Linked DNA regions of Drosophila melanogaster. The protein of the gene in region 1 interacts with the protein of each later gene in a pairwise test. Each region holds a gene or a part of one and is shown in the gene's direction. Other genes may lie near its edges.

Region 1 (4,195 bases):
ATCCACTTCAAGACGCTGCACCGGGCTGGACCGCATGATAGCATCATGACTAGCGCGTTTCAGGCCTCGTTAGATGGAGGATTGGCATCGATCACAAAAGGACAGCCATTGGCAGTGGTTCATGGATCCCAAATCACACTACGACACACCCACGGACGCACCTGTTGGCTGCACTCGCATGCAGCTGTCTATCCGGTGCGGTATCCGGACAAGAGAGGCTCCTCCCACCAGCAGCAGGTCACCTGCTACTCCTTCAAGGATGTGAACAACTGGTGGCTGGTTAAGCGACCAACAAAGGAGAACCTGGTGGTGGGTGATGAGCCGGATATCATTCGGCACGGTGAAATTATTCAGTTGGTCCATGGAATTACGAGCCGAGCTCTGAACTCACACGATGTGGCTGCGGCAATGACGCCGCAGTGCCAAGAAGTCAGCTGCTACATAGATTACGAGATCAAAATGGCCGGTGAACTGTTGTGGCGCGTGGAGATTCTGAATCGCGATTCCGAAGGTGACATTTGGCATGCCATCAAGTCGGAGGTCCGCCTCGTTCACGTGTCCACAGAAGCCTCCTTGAAGTTCAGTGGGCGCCAACTTCCCGAATGGGGTTTCAATCAGCACGAGGTGGTGGCGGATCGTGAAAAGGCAATACATGAGGATGCCATTTGGAATGTTGAGGAGCACCGCTATACACAGAGTAAGTCCTCTTCGAGATACTTGAAGAAATACGTTATCCTCATTTACAACCCTTTATAGCTGAGGATCATCGGGAGCGAGAGCGCCAGATGCTAACTGCCGAGATGATACCCACAAAGCGGACGCGCATCTCGTTCTGGGCCAAGCTACTGGAGCTACAATCCAAGATGCTGTTCCAAACGAAGTCAGTGCCAAATCACATGTACAGCTCGATGCCGCACGAGTGGCCGCTAATGGACAAGGGCATCGCTTATTGGTTGGACTCACAGTCGAGTGCGCAGATCTATTTGCTGGGAAACATACTACTCTGGTACACAGCCACCATGGGAATACTTGTCTATGCCGGATTACTCGCCTTCTACGCGATGCGGCGGCAACGTCTTTGCTTTGATATTTCGGAGCAAGAGTGGCAGCGATTCGTATTAGCTGGTGACACCTTTTTTATGGGCTACGTGATGCACTATATTCCGTATTTTTGTGTGGATCGTACACTCTTCCTGCACAATTACTTGCCAGCCTTTGTGTTTAAGTTACTTTTATTGTGCTTTGTCGTGGAGCATTTGGACTATCTGCTCAGGCGCTTCTGCACCGGACGTGGTGTCCATCTGGTGCGCCTTTATCGCCTCATGCTAATCCTGTGGCTGGTGGGCGTGCTTAGCATTTTCTCAAAGTTTATACCATTCAGTTATGGTGCGAGAAAAATGACTTTAAATGAGGTTCGCAGTCTTCGATGGAAGGATACCTGGGACTTTGTCCTGCACAAGAACCACCACCTGTACTGAAAAAACAGATGCCATCTCCGCGGCCAGAGAGAGACGTGCAATGATGTACTAGTACCATGTACAATAGACTAGACGACTAGCTAAAGTTGAACTAATACTAAGCCATAAATTATTTGACATGTAAACATACTCATTTACAAGACCAATAAATACAATTATTTATTTATTTAAGATGTTCTGCTTTATCACTCAGTAATATGTATAAGCACTCTGAAAACACTTGAACCCACACTATATACATAAATACACTCATAAACATGGCCAATAAGGGACACTTTATAGACAGAAATGCAAATATACCGACTGCAGGATTGTCCACCAGTGGATTAGATGGAGCGGAAGGTGTAAAAGTTTGTCTTAGTATTAGCAATCCAGAAGAATTGGCTGAGAGTCTAGTTAGGCGCAATTACGGGCAGATCAATAAAAAATCCCAGAAGTTCCCAGCCGGTTCCGTTCAACCCAGCAGCAGCATCCGGGATTTGCTCACCAGCGAGTTGCAAAAGTCGCGCTTTATGTCCTTCAAGGAGAAGTTCTACGAGGAAATGTACTTCAAAAAGGCCACTTTGGGTGGGGTCAAGAAAACGTACTCCAAACCGGAAGACGTGACCAATATAAGCCAAACCTTCGGAAGTCCATCGAGTCAATCACAAAATGAATGTCTCTACGACGTCATATTGCCGGCCAAGTCGGCGGAGCAAGTTAATAAGGAGTACGAGGCTTTCCACGACAAGTACATCATCAGCCACAATCACTACTTTCCTTCGGAGCAGGTTAACCGCAGGTCAAGCTATTGGTCACTACAAATGCAATGGTGCATATTTAATGAACGTCTTAAATATTTTTTAGATATGCCCAACCATTTGATCGAAAATCACCTTGTGGAGATATACATACTCACGGCGATTTTGGACTGAAAGTGAAGCGATGTCTGGAGGAAGGTGAGAACCACCTGAAGGTTATTGGCAAGGCGCAAGTGGACTTTATGGATCGAAACGAGGCACCCCTCGGAATGCGAAACAAAAAGTAAGTATAGATAGATATAGATTTTGATTAATAGTTTTAGACTGTCTGTAGGTACACTTTTGCGGTGCCCGACATAACTTTCGGTGTTCCTCTGCGCAGCAATGGCGATGTGAAGATGCTGCTAAATAATATTGAACCCTGCTACAAAACCAACCGGCTACTAGATGCCATACGCTATTTGAACAAAAAACGTCATAGTTTGAGGAACCAGCTGGAATTTCACAAGTACGCACTAAATTCAGTGCTGGAGAGGAGTGACACGGATGGAACGGGTCACTTGCCACTGGCACGCATCTTGGAAATTTTCAGAAGTTTTCACATCCGTCTGGATGCGCAAAAAATCCGTCTGGCCTTGTCCAATTTTCGGCTGATTGTGGACGAGGGCTGTGCCACGGAGCGGGTGAATTATGTAGATTTCTTTCGACTTCTCTCGATTCAGAATTCTCTGCCGAAAACGGGAAACTTGACCAATGTATCCGATGTTAGTTGTCTGGACACCACATATCGTTTGCTCTGCGCCGATCTTCAAAACAAGTCAAAGGATAATACGGGAGCAATTAGCCAGAATCTCGAAGGGAATAAAACAACTGCCAAGGATCTTATAACACCGGATTTGGCCATTTTACGTGGCCTTACTCACAGTGATTTCACCTGTTTGCGGCCCAAAGCGGAAATCGAACGTATCTTTAGAAGTCTCGTAACAACTGATAAATTCGAAGCTATTTGGCAGAGTCTAATGACTAAGTTCAAGGACCAAAATGAAATGGCATCCGTCACGCAGTTTCGTACTGAAATGCACAACAAAATAGAGGCCATATCTACATAATACTTAGACAATTTACCATGACAAACAAATATATAATAAACAAAAATAAACTATAGCATAAGTTTGGGCTGTCATTTGTGTGAAGCAAATATTTGCTACAGCATTAAACTTTCAAAGCTGGTGTCTTACGACCAAATATTTAAATTTCTGTGATCAGTTAGGAAATCAAATTAATACTAGTTTTCTAAATCCGGAAATTACTGGAGAACTATAAATGGGGTGACTTCAACATCAGTTGATCACAACAGCCCTTCGCCGCTTTTAAGCCAAGTCTAATATCAATTGCTTTGCCAGCTAACCAACATAACCAACAATAACATCAAAGATGAAATACCTGTTCGTGGTTGCCCTTATTGCCCTGGCCATCCAGGTGGCTTCATCTTCTAGTAATACAACAACAACTGATGCCACCACCACAACAACAACCACCACTGCAGCATCGACCACAACAACAACAACGGCCGCTTCCACTCACAAAAAGCTTTGTTGGAGGGGCAACAACTGGTGCCACACCCGCATTCCCAAGCGGAAGTGCAAGAACCCAAAGAGGTGCCACAAGACCATCGTGATTGTGACCCACAGGAAAAATTAAGCTGCACTAGTAGTTTTTGAAATAAAGAAATTCTTTTTAAAAGAATTTTGCCTAATATTTTCATTTTATCTATAAAATTATTTTAAGTAGTATTTGTACCCTTAACTCATAACGCATAGTAAATGGGTATGCAATGTGTGTTTAAAAGTAGGTAACACTTAAAAAGTTTTCGATCCTATTGTATTGTACACATATGCCTTATCAGAATATATAGCCGATTTAGTCTATCGGTCGCCAATTTTCTAAAGAAATAGTTTCATCGCCTTTAAATTGCAA
Region 2 (4,522 bases), on another chromosome or scaffold:
AGGGCGAGAAGCCTCCGTCACCGGCCAACTTCCAGCTGCGTGGCTTCAATTCAAACACCTTCGATGTGGTACTGAGTGCTCCACGAGGTCCTCCCGACAGTCCCATGGGGGTCAATGGATTCCGCATCGAGTACATGACCGAAATGGAGTTCAAGACGGATGCGGGCAAGTGGACCAATGCCAGGCGGAAGGATTATGCTTTCGAGGAGGGTGAGTTAAGCTTTAAAATATAGATAAAAGCTATCTCTTGCTACATTCGATATGTAAACTCATGGATTCTATAAATTTTAGGGGCTACCTTCCTTCTGACGAACTTAGAGCCAGATACCGTTTACCTGGTGCGGGCCGCATCACGGAATCTGGCCGGATTCAGTGACTTCACCAAGGTGGAGAAGTACAAGACACTTTCGCTGGAGCCCCGAGTCTCTTCGGGAGTCAAGGAGACCAGAAATATGTGCGTGGAACTGGGTGTGATGACACTAATGGTCCTGATGCGGCCGTTCCTGGGATGAATCTGAATCTGCAGGCGGATGAAGGATGACAGGTGATGCACCTAGCGGAACCGGAAACCAGGACCTTAAACCCCATGTGCTTTGTATAGCTATAAGGCGTGTCCACACGGCGACACTTTTCTGTCTGATTTGCTCGGTCTAAGTAATTTGGTTTACTCTTAAGTTCAGTGCGTTAATGTAACCTTAAAGAATGTTAAGTTTAGTAAGAATTTCTATTACGCTTTCAGTGCTTCGATTTGAATGATATTAGTGGATCACTTATAGGATATTTATATGTATTTAAACAAATCCTCATAGCAGTTAGACATAATCAATGGTTTGCTGGCCTTGGCTCCCCAAAATTATGCAAAACTAAAGCTTTGCTCAACATTCCAGTATATATTTTAACGTGAATTGGAAGTTTTCCCTGCAACTTTGCATCTCGTTGCCAAATCTTTAAGATATAATCAGACAGTTGCCAAAACTAAAAAAGTACATTAGTTTAGTATATACAAACAAATGCCTTCCGTCATTCGATATAACTAACAATCTTTTCAACTAAACTACATAAATATATAAAGTTTTGGAATACCATTAAACGCATCAAACAATTAATATAAATATCAAGGAGCTTAACGACAGCATTTAAAAGTTTTATATGTCACATAATTCTTTTTAATAGTCAAAGGCCAATAAAAACAATTCCACGTGTAAATTTCCAGGGCTAAAAAATACAGAATAAAATATAGATGTAAAAATAAGTTTAAACACTTTGCCACAATACAAATATTATGCAAACGAGAGAAAAACAAACACATATTTTACAAAAGTTATTTATATTCAATAAAATTAAATGTATTTCAGCTAAAGTGGTGTAAAATCTAAACCATAATACCTAGCCAAAGATTTAATATTTTCCAACTTTCGTTTGCCAATTGTGTGTGAGCCATAATAAAAGTTATGAATATCAAACCAGAACCGTTTGTGCTTCGATTTATTGATGTATAAATCAGTAAGTAAATAGAATATAAATATTTTAGTAAAAAAAATGCCTATTAGTTGGCGTAGCTTTTAGTGTTAATTTCTAATATTCGGCTCAAAAATTATATACAAAAAGTACAAAGCATAAAAATGTTGCAAGATGGAAAAACGAGCTCATTATTTTAGTCAGAACTCGAACCAGCCGCTAAATGCAGACTTTAATTTAGAAGATCAAATTATGAGGAATTCACAAAAAATATATAGGTTTAGCTCAGATCCGGGTGAGTAAAGCTTGCTAATAATGAATACATAAAATTAAAATTTTTATTTAGAATACAATAGAGTATATCAGCGGTATATGGCAACCCTCATCCGTGTGCAAAATTCCATGCATAGAAGATTTCAATCCAGGACCACTCTAAAATTGCAGGGCTCACATAGCCGCCTCTCAGCTGGCGGATTCTGTACGAAATTCAATAAATCCGGAAAGGAGAAAAAAAATAAACACAACCAAAGCCACGACCAGCAAAATGATACCTGTAAGCCTTCTTGCTCGAAGCCAACTGATTGCGCCACAAATGATGAACCTTCCTGCCGGGGCAATAAAAGTGCATCCGATAAAAGCCTGAAAATCACCCGCTGTTCCATACCGGAACCCAATAAGTCCCCACGCAGCGATGGACACGAGAACCAGCGTCAGAGCTGTGTGTCCTTTGAAGAGCCCGCGGCCAAGGATATTCCCACATTTGATCTGCACTTCCGGGACACCTCATGTACGGTGTCCCATGATTCCAGCCTGTCCTCCATCAACGTTTGCTATAGCCAAGAGCAACAGAGGGATATTACAAAATCTTGTCCCGCTCAAACGCCGAAAGAGCCAGCCCCTCAACGGATGAAGGAGTCGTCCAGGAATCAAACAGCTTCACGATTTTGCATGAGACCGTTGATTGTGGTGCCCACAGGTGGAGGAATTAAACAATTAAAGAAGGATCAATCTGAGAATTCCAAAATAGTTAGCACAGATCACTCCAAGTCGAAGTCTGCACACCACACGAATAGTTCTCGAAAATCCACAAAGAAGCAAGCAAAGAGTCACCGCCTTATTAAGTCTCACAGCTCTAAAGATTCTTTAGCAAATCGTGGTCAGCCTACAGTGGAAATTGAAGAAACTTTTCCAAATTCAATCTGCACTTCCGATACCCACGAATCCTGTGACTGCAAGAGCGAAGACCAATTTTGCTGTTACTATATACCAGAGGAGCCCCATTGCTCGCAGAATCCACCGCCATGTTCCAACTGCCCGGCTATATGCGACTTATCCAACCAATTGGAGGAGATGAATCGACGTTTGGAGGGCCTTCACAGCCAGGAACTCTGCGATATCCGCACGCAGGTGAATAGCCTCAATGCCAATGTTCAGCATTTGGCCAAAGAGTGCATTCAGAAAATGGATGGCGCCAAAAGGCTGGACAAGAAGACCTCGAGCACCTGTCAGTTCTGTCATGGGCAGTGTTTGAAAATACTTGATAGCTTCTATAGGCAACTGCTGGACTCACTTTGGGATCGTTCCCTGACAGACATAGTAATATCCATATTTCTGCGAGCAGACAATGTCTATCACGTAAATGTGCGGGATCTGAGCTCGGACTGTTCCCTTGGTTGTTACCTGGTCACTGATGCGGCCATAGAGGAGGCCATCGAGTTGGGAGTTTTTCAGAACATACTCACATTTAGTGTAATTGATGTGCGGAATACCATCAAGTCGAAGAACTGCGACTTGGGCATCGTCTTTGAATACCATCATTCAAAGCGGCAGACCGGTGGTTGCGATTCTCCACTTCGTGGCTCCTGCATGGTGGGCAAGGAATATATCGGCAGGGTTCTCGGACTTCCTTTGGAGCAGCTGAAATACCTGTACTCCGTTCCGCGATCCTATACCAAAATCACTGAGCACGACACTAGGAGTGTAACTGGAAGTCAGTTACACTCAGTTTCCACTCAAACGACTTTGATGGATATGCAGACAGAAATGAAGATAAGATATAAGAAAAGTGCCCGTACAAAACTACCATCAGTTTGAAAGATATCAGTTTTAATAATATATAGCAAAAGTTATAGTTAAGCCAACTTACAACGTATTTCTAAAATTTTGTAATAAAAGACCTTATAATTTTAAAAGCCAGCATAGATCAAAGGAAATTCTGATTAGTTTCAATAAAGCTAACCGTACAGGTTGCACTGCCATTTGCACAACCGACGGACCGCATGGCAAATGGTTCATTTGTTCAACGGGCGCGGTTTGTCAATCAGCCACATCAACTGGGGCTCAACTAAGGACCCGCATATGCGCTTTTGGCCGGAATGCCTTTTTGGGGGGGCTTTTTGGGGCAAGGAATAGGAGCACTGCGTTGACAGCCGCATAAATCAGTTGAATGCCAAACGTCGGATTCGGATGCAGATGCGGATGCTGTTGCGTATGCGGATATGCATTGCGACTGGGCGCCATATTGTGCGTGGTGACTTTTATTGCCCGACCGCGCGTTAAATATTTTTCTGTCTACACACATGGACATGGATGCTCCGCTCATCATTGACATTTACCATTGGCCATCGTCATTCGCATCACAATGAGCAGCAATGAGCGTGGCCGTTATTTGGGTGCGGTTCAAAACAATCAGCCCGGCTATTTAATTTCCAAATGAGAGGAGCATTATTCGGCACAGCATGAGTTCAAATCACTTGCCCCATGTGCCCGCCAGCTTTCAATATCAACACTTTAAGTCAACGATTTGAGCGACGACAGCTGAATCAGCAGCGAAGAGAAGAGGACAAATAAATACTGCGAAAAAAAATGCAGAATTCGGCCATTTTAGGCCTGCAACCGCCAATCCGCCAATTCACCAATCCACCGGCAAGTGGGTCAGTTTCGCACGGGCTTTTAGAGCAAATCAACGCGAAATCCGCTCCAGGTCATATGCCACCCGACTCGATGGGGGGGGGGCGAGACCATTCGTGCAATGCAATTTCCATGTCAGCGAAGAGTTTTACCC
Region 3 (6,172 bases), on another chromosome or scaffold:
ACGGCGACGTCACTCAAATGCGATTTGCAATTTTAATTTTTGCCGTTCATGTTTTGCAGTTTTTGTTCATATAATTAAAGTTGTAAAAATGAATTGCCATACAGCAAAAAAACGAGAGAAAAGTAAATTGCAAATTGTAAATTGCTTTTGCCATAAAGGCGGAAATGCCTCTCTCAACAACAAAAAAACTCGCATTCAAATAGTGCAACAAAAAACTAAAAACAAATAAGCCGAAATCGACAACAAAAAATAAGGCTAAACAGGTGAAGAAGAAAACTAAAAGCCACAGAAATAACAAAAACCGATAAACCAAAATTTAAAACCAGCACAAAAAATAGCCCCAAAACTTAAGATATACAATTGTGTTCGAAATCGTAGTAAAGCTATTTGAAGCGCCACAAAAATTTACATTTTTTGTAAACATTTTTAAGCATCGACTATTATTTTGGGTACAACTGTAGCAGATAAACAACAGCCCGCAAAAAACCCTAATTATCAAGCTTAGACAAAAACTACAAAAAAAGCGAAAAAATCACACAAAAAATGTAAATTACTGGCCTATGAATTTAATTAATTTTTTGCAACTCTGTAGGTTTTTTCCCCTCTTTTTTCATTTTTATCTTGGCGATTAGTTGGCAGCAACAATTACAATAAGCGAAGAAAAAGCGCCAATCGTTTCCTGAGCGAAAAACAATTGTTTACAATAATTGCATGCGATTATTATTTATGTCAATTTCGAATATTCAGCTGGCAAAGTCAACAAACCCGGAAACCTTCGGCGAGAACAACGGAATTTTTATCGTAATATTTTGTTCGCCTTTTTGCATTCAACAAAAAAGAGCACGCACAAAACAAAACATGCAAAAAAAAAAAGAAGCACAAAATATATGATTGAAAAACAAAAACGATAAAAAACAAGGGGAGAGCGGCGAACAAAAACAGAAAATCGCACAAATAACACACAACTTTTGTTTGGCTAAAAATAAAACGACGTTCGTTTTGCGTGTCTTTTTAGCACATGAAATAAATAATTTGTTTTCTCACCTTTTCTTTATGACTTTTCGCGCTATCTTTTCTTTTGGCGTTTTTTTCCCCCCTCGAATTTCTTTTACTTTTCCTTTATGCTTTTTGTTTTGTTATTCGAATCGAATTGCACACGCAGCAGAATTGTGTCGAAAAAAATTCATTCATTCATTTAATTTCTGGCTTGCCATTTTTGTTTCATTTCTATATTTTGTTTTTTAACATAAAAAAAAATAATGCGAAACAGCGAATTCAAAACGCGCGCTTTTTCTTTTGCCTTGCGAGCGGATAACGGTAAATGCGCACAGCAATGTTTTAACATTAAACACTAACCACTAAATTGTCAGGAAATTCACCAAAAATAAATGTTCTGTTTTGGAATTGTTAAGAATGTTAGGCTCATGTGTTTGTTAATATTTTCCAGGAATTTTCTTTTAGCGGCGCAGCGAAGTGAAACGTACCGCGGAGGAGACGGATTTTTGAGTGAAAAGAATTGAACTTTCGTTGTTGCTTATATAGACTTTGGCTGGCAGCAATGTTGCTGGAGAGAGATGTTGCACTCTCCCAATCGGTTGGCAACTTAAACCGGTTCGCAGTACCAGCAATTTGGCGGGTACTTTAAATGCCTTAACGTTATCGCGCGTTTGATAACTACGTACATTTTAAGGGATTGAGAGAAACGCATATTATGATATAAAATAAAGTGTTAATATTAATTGAAGAGGCACACACGCTTAACATTTCCACAAATTGTAAATATTTATACAAGAATTGGTAGCTATCGCTAGCGTTGCCAGACGGCGCCAAAAGCTTCTAAATCCAGCGATCCAACTACCCAAACAGCTGATATCTGTTAGCCTGGTAAATGTTGTTTACCAACGTAACGCGTGTTTTCGCTTCGTTGTATTTTCGGTGTCGAATATTTTGGATGCTGGCCAAGAGATAGCGCAGCGATCGGGTCGGAACTCTTGGGCGGACTTATCACTGGGTCGGTCAGGGGTCACGGGTTATCGTTATCGCTTATCAGCCAGCGGCGGCGTCATCTCAGCGCCGGCGACTCTTCTCACTTTGCGGCAGTTCCGATTCGAACGCAGCCGTGTGAGTACTAATAATTACCAAGGATTGTTGAAAAACATCCACTAAAATCTATAAAATTCTGCTTATTACAGTTACAAAGACATGCAGCGGGCGCGCTCTACACTGACACAAAAGCTTCGGTTTTGCCTTAGTCGGGACCTGAACACCAAAGTTGGCAACCCGGTTAACTTCGAGACTGGAAAGCTTAGCGGAGCTTTAACTCGCATCGCCGCCAAAAAACAACCATCACCAACGCCATTCTTACCGGCGATCAGACGATATTCGGACTCCAAGCAGAGCACTTTGAAGGTGAGTTCGCCGGGAAAGTCCCAGGCAAAGTGAAGGGGAGGGTGGAAAAAGTGTGGCTAATTGAACCATTTGGGGGACTCGCATTTCGATTGCCTTTAATTCTTGCAGTGATCGCGGTGCTCAGAAAGTTTGTGTTTCGCTTCCATTTGCGGCTCCTGGCATGCCCGGCTAATCGCCATGTGCTTCATGCGTTTCATTCAGCCATGTGTTCCCACACTGCACTATCCCTACGTGGATGGCATGCCATCGATCCGCTGAAAGTGTTGTTTATAGTAGTATCATTGTTAAGTACCTATGTACATGTGTAGTTTAATTGAGATCTTATAGCATATGTACATATATGTACCGTATTTGTATCAGTGTACTGTTAGTGTATTCAAAACGTCGCCATGCGCCAAGTTTGAATCTTTTTGATTCACATTCGCTACCTCGGCCTGAAACTCGTTTTTGGGCCTACTCGAATTTCTCGGCTGTTTGCGCCCTATCGAGCATTGTTGTTGTCATTCTCGTTTGCACTTGTCTAAATATTTAAACTGATAACGCAAAAAAAAAAAAGAATCTGGCATTGGCCATTAAATCGAATTTCCCATTCGTGTGGGCAGATTTGTATATAAATATACATACATACATATGTATATGCATTTTGCACTCAACTTGTGGCCAGAAATTAGCATTCAATTTAGTGGGAATCACCAGTTTCCAGTTTTTGCAGCTAAAATTTTGCGTGTCCAATTCATTTCTGCGTTGAAAATAGAAGAATCTTCCAGGGATTATTAGTTAGCAGCTGGAAACGTTGAACAACAAAATGGTACTAGAGATACGTAATTTGCTGGAGGAAGCTACATACATATAAACTTGTCCATTTTCTGCCAATATTCTCCATTTCGACTATATACGTACGTTTCCCGATCTTTCCGAAGTGCGTCAGCTGCAAAGGGGGGGCAGTGTCCTTATCGTCGTCCGGCGACTTGAACTGGTGACCCAGACGGATGATAATCACTTGACGATAAGCGGATCGCAAATAGACGCGCTCTCCCATCCATGGGGGGTCGCATTTTCGATCATGGGCGTGTTATTGCACCCAAGTCACTTGGTTTCCCTGGTATTTGGCCAATCTAATCGTGGATCGGGAATAGGGAATCGGGGGAGCGCCTCTCGAGTGGTTGCCATGGTGCATCCAGGCGTAATCTTCGCCTTGGCGATAGCTGCGCCTTATCGCCGGAACTTTTCCAATGCTATTTGAACCCATTGAACCCGTATTTGTTTGTAACTTTTCGCAACCATCGGCGGCGGGAACATAAATATTATTTTTGTTTCGAAGCGTTATTAAAAACATGGCATAAAGCTGACCAGGCAGCCGTTCATTTTCCACGGTCCGCACATATTCAACGATCGTCTTGGCGAGCGCATCGCACATTGCACAGCATTCCAATTACTATATATATATATATATAATATACAATACTATATAAATCCGAACAGAATATGGCCGATCAGAAACTGCTGCAAACCCCGCTGGCACAGGGCGATCCGGAGCTGGCCGAGCTGATCAAGAAGGAGAAGGAGCGCCAGCGCGAAGGACTCGAGATGATCGCCAGTGAGAACTTCACCTCGGTGGCGGTTCTCGAGAGCCTGAGCTCCTGCCTGACCAACAAGTACTCCGAGGGATATCCCGGCAAGAGGTGGGTGCACATATAAGATTCCTCACGGATCTGCAAGAAGACATCATAGTCGGATCTTTAAATGATTCTATACTAGTTCTGATATCATACTTACTGGTAGAGATCACCTTATTGGCTCTATGGCATGTGAATCCCTGGTGATCCTGCTCTAATCCTGGTCATCGCTTTGACTTGCAGGTACTACGGTGGCAACGAGTACATCGACCGCATAGAGCTGCTCGCCCAGCAACGCGGACGCGAGCTGTTCAACCTGGACGATGAGAAGTGGGGCGTTAATGTGCAGCCTTATTCCGGATCCCCGGCCAATCTGGCTGTCTACACGGGCGTCTGCCGGCCCCACGATCGCATCATGGGCCTGGATCTGCCCGATGGCGGTCACTTGACGCACGGTTTCTTCACGCCCACCAAGAAGATATCGGCCACATCGATCTTCTTCGAGAGCATGCCGTACAAAGTGAACCCGGAGACGGGCATCATCGATTACGATAAGTTGGCGGAGGCGGCGAAGAATTTCCGGCCGCAGATCATCATTGCTGGCATATCGTGCTACTCCCGTCTGCTGGACTATGCGCGTTTCCGACAGATTTGCGATGATGTGGGCGCCTACCTGATGGCCGACATGGCCCATGTGGCGGGCATTGTGGCCGCGGGATTGATACCATCGCCGTTCGAATGGGCCGACATTGTGACCACCACCACGCACAAGACACTGCGAGGTCCGCGCGCCGGCGTGATCTTCTTCCGCAAGGGCGTGCGCAGCACCAAGGCCAATGGAGACAAGGTACTCTACGATCTGGAGGAGCGCATCAACCAGGCGGTGTTTCCATCACTCCAGGGTGGTCCGCACAACAACGCCGTGGCTGGCATTGCCACCGCCTTCAAGCAGGCCAAGAGTCCCGAATTCAAGGCCTACCAGACGCAGGTGCTCAAGAATGCCAAGGCCCTGTGCGATGGCCTCATTTCGCGAGGCTATCAGGTGGCCACCGGCGGCACCGACGTCCATTTGGTGCTGGTCGATGTGCGTAAGGCTGGCCTGACCGGCGCCAAGGCCGAGTACATCCTCGAGGAGGTGGGCATCGCGTGCAACAAGAACACTGTGCCCGGCGACAAGTCCGCCATGAATCCCTCCGGCATCCGGCTGGGCACACCGGCCCTGACCACTCGCGGCCTTGCCGAGCAGGACATCGAGCAGGTGGTGGCCTTCATCGATGCTGCCCTAAAGGTTGGCGTCCAGGCAGCCAAGCTGGCCGGCAGTCCCAAGATAACCGATTACCACAAGACGCTGGCCGAGAATGTGGAGCTCAAGGCCCAGGTGGACGAGATCCGCAAGAATGTGGCCCAGTTCAGCAGGAAATTCCCGCTGCCCGGCCTGGAGACCCTGTAGGTGCTGCCTGCTTTGTTTGTCCCTTTTTCTTTTGTTCGCCTTACGATTTACATCCTCGAAAAGTCCGCTTGTTAATATCATAAGTGGGAATTAGTAGTTAAGCCATTAAACGCATTTCAGTTTACATACCATAGCTATGGAGTTTTATTTTTGGAATGGAGTATCTAGTATTTACACGAAACAATGCTTTGTTATTCGAGATGAGTGGTTTGTTTCAGATGATGCAAGGGAATTCAATAAATGTATTTAAGTATCTTTGCAACAATTGCTAATCAATGGGCATAAGTATCCTTGGTAACTATGGTGTTAGTTTCCAAATGCCCTGCTTGCCTGCAATTCAACTCCTCTAAATGATAGCCAGCCATGAAGGCAGCAGTGGTCATGTGCAGATAGTTGGGCGTACTAAATGATACATTAATGGCATACCGCTGTCTCAGTGATCGCTGTACTCGATCTTGGTGAATCCCTTGGTCGAACAGCCCATTTCGCGATGAAAACGCGAGTTGTGTGTGGAGAGGGACCACTTTGTCTTGAAGCTCTTCATGCAGATGAAGCACTCGTGCTCCTTGCCCTGAATCTCCGAATGCCTGGAGGCGATGTGTCGCCGCAGCGCGTTCACCGACTTGAGCGGCCTGCCGCAGAAGCTGCAGTTCAGCGGTGCGAGGCCGGTATACTGGACGCTCTCCTCATCGCTGCC
Region 4 (4,004 bases), on another chromosome or scaffold:
CTGCAGGCCCAGAAATACGCAGCCAATGAAAACGAGTCCAAGATGATCGAGCACTATGTCCGATCCTTTGAACAGGGCTCGCTGGACGAGCACAAGAACGGATCGCGTTGGTGGATCAAGGACAAGGGACCTGTCATCGAGACCTACATTGGTTTCATTGAGACATACAGGGATCCTGCTGGAGGTCGGGCTGAATTCGAGGGCTTCGTGGCCATGGTGAACAAGGAGAGCTCGGCCAAATTCTCCGAGCTGGTGAACCGCGCCGAGAAACTAATAGAGTACCTGCCCTGGACGGAGCCTTACGAGAAGGACTCTTACCTGAAGCCAGACTTCACATCCCTGGATGTCCTCACATTTGCCGGCAGCGGAGTACCAGCGGGCATCAATATTCCCAATTACGACGAAATCCGCCAGGATGAAGGCTTCAAGAACGTCTCGCTGGGCAATGTGCTGGCCAACATCAACCGCAAGGATCCCATTCCTTTCCTCACCGAGGAGGATCAAACTCTGATGAAAGAGTACAAGGTGAAGGCTTTTGAGGTGCAAGTGGGCCTCCATGAACTCCTAGGCCATGGTAGTGGCAAGCTATTCCGCATCGACGAAAATGGTGTGTACAACTTTGACAAGGAGAACACTAAGAACCTGGTCACCGGTGAACCCATCACCAAGTGGTATCTTCCTGGAGAAACTTACGACACCAAGTTCGGAGCAATTGGTTCCTCGTACGAGGAATGCCGCGCCGAGGCGGTGGGCTTGTATCTCTCCCTGCAGCGTGACATCCTGGAGATCTTTGGCTTCAAGGACAAAGCCGAGCAGGACAACATCATCTATGTCAACTGGCTGAGTCTCATCTGGAACGGCATGGGTGTGGCTCTGGAAATGTTCAACCCGAAGTCCAAGCTGTGGCTCCAGGCGCACTCTCGCGCTCGTTTCGTGATCATGAAGGTGCTGCTGGAGGCAGGCGAAGGACTCGTTAAGGTCGAGGAAACCGAAAAGGGTAAAAACCTTTTGCTGACGGTGGATCGCAGCAAGATCGATACCGTGGGCAGGAAGGCGCTGGGCGATTTCCTGACCAAGCTGCAGGTGTACAAATCCACCGCCGACATCGAGGCAGCTTCCAAGATGTACGAACACTACTCGAAGGTCGACGAGAGCGGATCGCATCCGTGGGCCAAGTGGCGGGATATCTGCCTGGCGCACAAGAAGCCGCGTATGATTCTCGTCCAGGCCAACACGGCGATCGGCCAGGACCAAAAGGTCCAGCTGAAGACCTACGAGCCCACCCACGAGGGGTACATCCAGTCATGGGTGGAGCGCTACCCCAACACTGACATCGACGATCTTCTGGAGAGCATCGTGGAGAAGGACAAGAAGTATTTCCCGACTGCCTTCAACAACTGAGAACATTTCGCATTTAACATTTTCGCCTTCATTATCAATTCAATTTGTTAACTATGATTTTGAAAAAAAATATATAAAAATATATATAGTCATCTAATGACCAACAATTTTAAATTTTAAATTGCTTTTATAGTAAAACTTTCGTAGTGAATGGTGATTTTAAGATCGTTTTTGCCATTCACCGAAAATATTGACAAAGGACCTGAATTTAATTGCTTGTATGTACATACATATATTGCGACCAAATGTATATTGCTCATAATAGCTCCACAATTAAGAATGTAAATATAAAATCAAATACTACAATTTGTTCATTGAATGTTTTCATAGTAGCCAGTCGATAAATATTGGTTTTTTTTTTTTTATTTTGTTTCTCGTTTCCATTTCTGTTTGCATTGTTTTGACCACCATGGCAACCGGTAGAAATCGTGGTAACCACAAGGAAGGTGGCACTATCAACATCGGACAGCCGCTATTCCAGGTGCCTCATTCATTGCGCAAGGAGCACGACTTTTTCAGCTCACAGCTGTTCCGAAAATTGCAGTACGACCTGGAGGAGGTGAGCCGCAGCCAGGAGCTTTCCAAAGTGAGTCCCATAACCCGCGACTTCATCGAGGAGGCAGCGATGACGCAGGAAATGCAAGATCTTAAGCGTGCGGAGTTTGTGGAGAGGAAACGTCGCCAGCAATTGCGGCGGGATTGCGAGGAACTGCGCGACTTGGCGGAGCAGCTGCGCCTAGCCGCCATTTCCAGGGATATAGCCGAGAATTTGGAGGAGAAAAAACGTCGTCGACAGCTAGACATCAAATTGGAAGCCGCGGAAGTGTCCCAAGAGCGCTGTCTGCTGGAGGTCAGGCAACGTGAGAAGGAAGTGGCTCTTAAGGAGGAACAACGCCGCCTTAGGGAGTCCTTGGCTGAACAAATGGAGGAGAACCGCCGACGGCGCCTGCAAGAGCACGCTCAGGTGATGAATGACCGGGAGCTGAGCCTTCTGATGCAGAAGCAAATCCAGGAAGAGGATCGAGCCCAGGAGCTGGAGGCGCAGAGAAAAAAACTACAAAAGCGACAGGACATGCTGCGGTCCATCAAGGAGAACCAGGAACTCAGAGAATGGCAGCGAGCTCAATACAACCAGGAGTTGAGTGACTTAGTCCAGAAGCAAAGTGACATGGAGCGCAGGAAACTCCAGCTGGAGGCTGAACGCCAGGAGATTCAACGCAAAAAACAAGAAATCAGCATTCGTTTGGGCCAGCAAGTCCTAGAAATCGAAGTAAGTCTTGAAGCGGTTTTTCGATTCAATCAATAAAGCTAACTCTTATTGCAGAACAAAAAACGGCATCGCGACAATCTGCTGCTGGATCTGTTGGAGGCGGAGTACACGGCCAAGAGTGACGAGCGCTATCGCCAACAGATGCAGCAGGAGCAGATGTCTCGCCAGCGCACCAGACAGGAGTTGGATCGCTATCGACAGGAGGTGAAGCATCGTAAGATGGCCGAAATGCAGATGAAGCGGGCGGAGATGGCTACGCGGCAGGAGGAGGCGCCGGATACAATCAACCAGAATTCCGAAAAGCAACTGGATGAATATCGCAGACGCCGGGCCCATGGAGCCTCCTTGCTTGCTATGATTGAGGATAATCACCGGAAGCGGGCGGAGGCCACCGCTGAAAATGTTCAGTACTTTGACATGAAGGCCAAGATCGATGCCGAGCAAGAGGAACGCATCAAACAGGAGCGTTTGGCCATGTTGAGCCAGGTTCCTTCCTCCGTGCTTCGATATCTACCAAAGCATGTCCTTAAGTCTACGGATAGGGAGCATTTCTGCCTAATTGACGCTCAGGCACGGGGCGGTGGCGATTCCTAGTCAGTGGCATAGTTCCAAATTGTAATTCTAAGACGGTCAAGTTTATTTTTGGCTTCCAAAAATAAATTATTTAAAATTAAGCGCCGTTGTGTCTACGTGACGTGTATCATTTAGGCTAGCGAAGATGCCAGACCGTCGCCTGTGCTGCCAGTTCGTTGTTTTGCTCGATTGGAAACCTCGATTGAAAGGATATTCTCACAGAATGCGCATCTGCTGTTTCAATTTGGTTTAATATTATTTTGAAAGCTCGGCCTAATAACCGCTTCATAATTGCCGCGAAAGTGTTTATGCAGTCCAATCAAAAATACTATAAATGTTATCTGTAATTGAAATTTTATATCAAATTGACTACTAACTATTTCTTTGCATCTTACTAATTGCATTCAAAAAACATAACTTTCATAAAATACATGTTTAGATATACGTTTATTTTGACTGGTATACCAATATATATCTTTTTATAAAAGATAAAGCCAGTGCTGCGGAAGCTTGTCGCTGGTGCAGAAGCTCGTGTGTGTGAATAGCTTCTTTTCGAAATCAGTGGTACCGAGCAATATCGAAACCAAGACATCCCTAACACGCCCATTATCGGACTATCGATACTATCGCGAGTGCTAGCTGACGCTGGTCTGGTTTTATTTTATGTTAACGGGAGTGATCTTGCGTACAAACAATAACACGGAATCGCAGTGAAAGGGCGTTGCACAAATGACAGTGTTTTGGCAAAATGCCCGGGCTA

What was found.
Region 2: the proteins of CG32086 (region 1) and CG15631 interact in a two-hybrid assay, tested with the Drosophila melanogaster proteins (one large-scale study listed by BioGRID).
Region 3: the proteins of CG32086 (region 1) and Shmt interact in a two-hybrid assay, tested with the Drosophila melanogaster proteins (one large-scale study listed by BioGRID).
Region 4: the proteins of CG32086 (region 1) and CG7352 interact in a two-hybrid assay, tested with the Drosophila melanogaster proteins (one large-scale study listed by BioGRID).

What each region holds. Positions count from the first base shown.
Region 1 is NT_037436.4:11,581,574-11,585,768, reverse strand, and holds CG32086 (uncharacterized protein), read left to right. Parts: upstream 1-1,704; 5' UTR 1,705-1,735; coding exon 1,736-2,259; intron 2,260-2,324; coding exon 2,325-2,501; intron 2,502-2,552; coding exon 2,553-3,327; 3' UTR 3,328-3,368; downstream 3,369-4,195. Other genes in the region: rt (rotated abdomen), read left to right, coding at 1-697, 757-1,478; CG33269 (uncharacterized protein), read left to right, coding at 3,653-3,919.
Region 2 is NT_033779.5:4,731,537-4,736,058, reverse strand, and holds CG15631 (uncharacterized protein), read left to right. Parts: upstream 1-1,600; 5' UTR 1,601-1,632; coding exon 1,633-1,753; intron 1,754-1,804; coding exon 1,805-3,552; 3' UTR 3,553-3,646; downstream 3,647-4,522. Other genes in the region: fipi (factor of interpulse interval), read left to right, coding at 1-210, 292-512.
Region 3 is NC_004354.4:5,912,500-5,918,671, reverse strand, and holds Shmt (serine hydroxymethyl transferase), read left to right. Parts: upstream 1-1,874; 5' UTR 1,875-2,121; intron 2,122-2,192; 5' UTR 2,193-2,202; coding exon 2,203-2,409; intron 2,410-3,374; exon of another isoform or gene 3,375-3,891; coding exon 3,892-4,091; exon of another isoform or gene 4,092-4,121; intron 4,122-4,185; exon of another isoform or gene 4,186-4,268; coding exon 4,269-5,475; 3' UTR 5,476-5,605; downstream 5,606-6,172. Other genes in the region: CG12236 (uncharacterized protein), read right to left, coding at 5,909-6,172.
Region 4 is NT_033777.3:8,345,954-8,349,957, forward strand, and holds CG7352 (uncharacterized protein), read left to right. Parts: upstream 1-1,765; 5' UTR 1,766-1,810; coding exon 1,811-2,671; intron 2,672-2,725; coding exon 2,726-3,265; 3' UTR 3,266-3,343; downstream 3,344-4,004. Other genes in the region: DppIII (dipeptidyl aminopeptidase III), read left to right, coding at 1-1,401.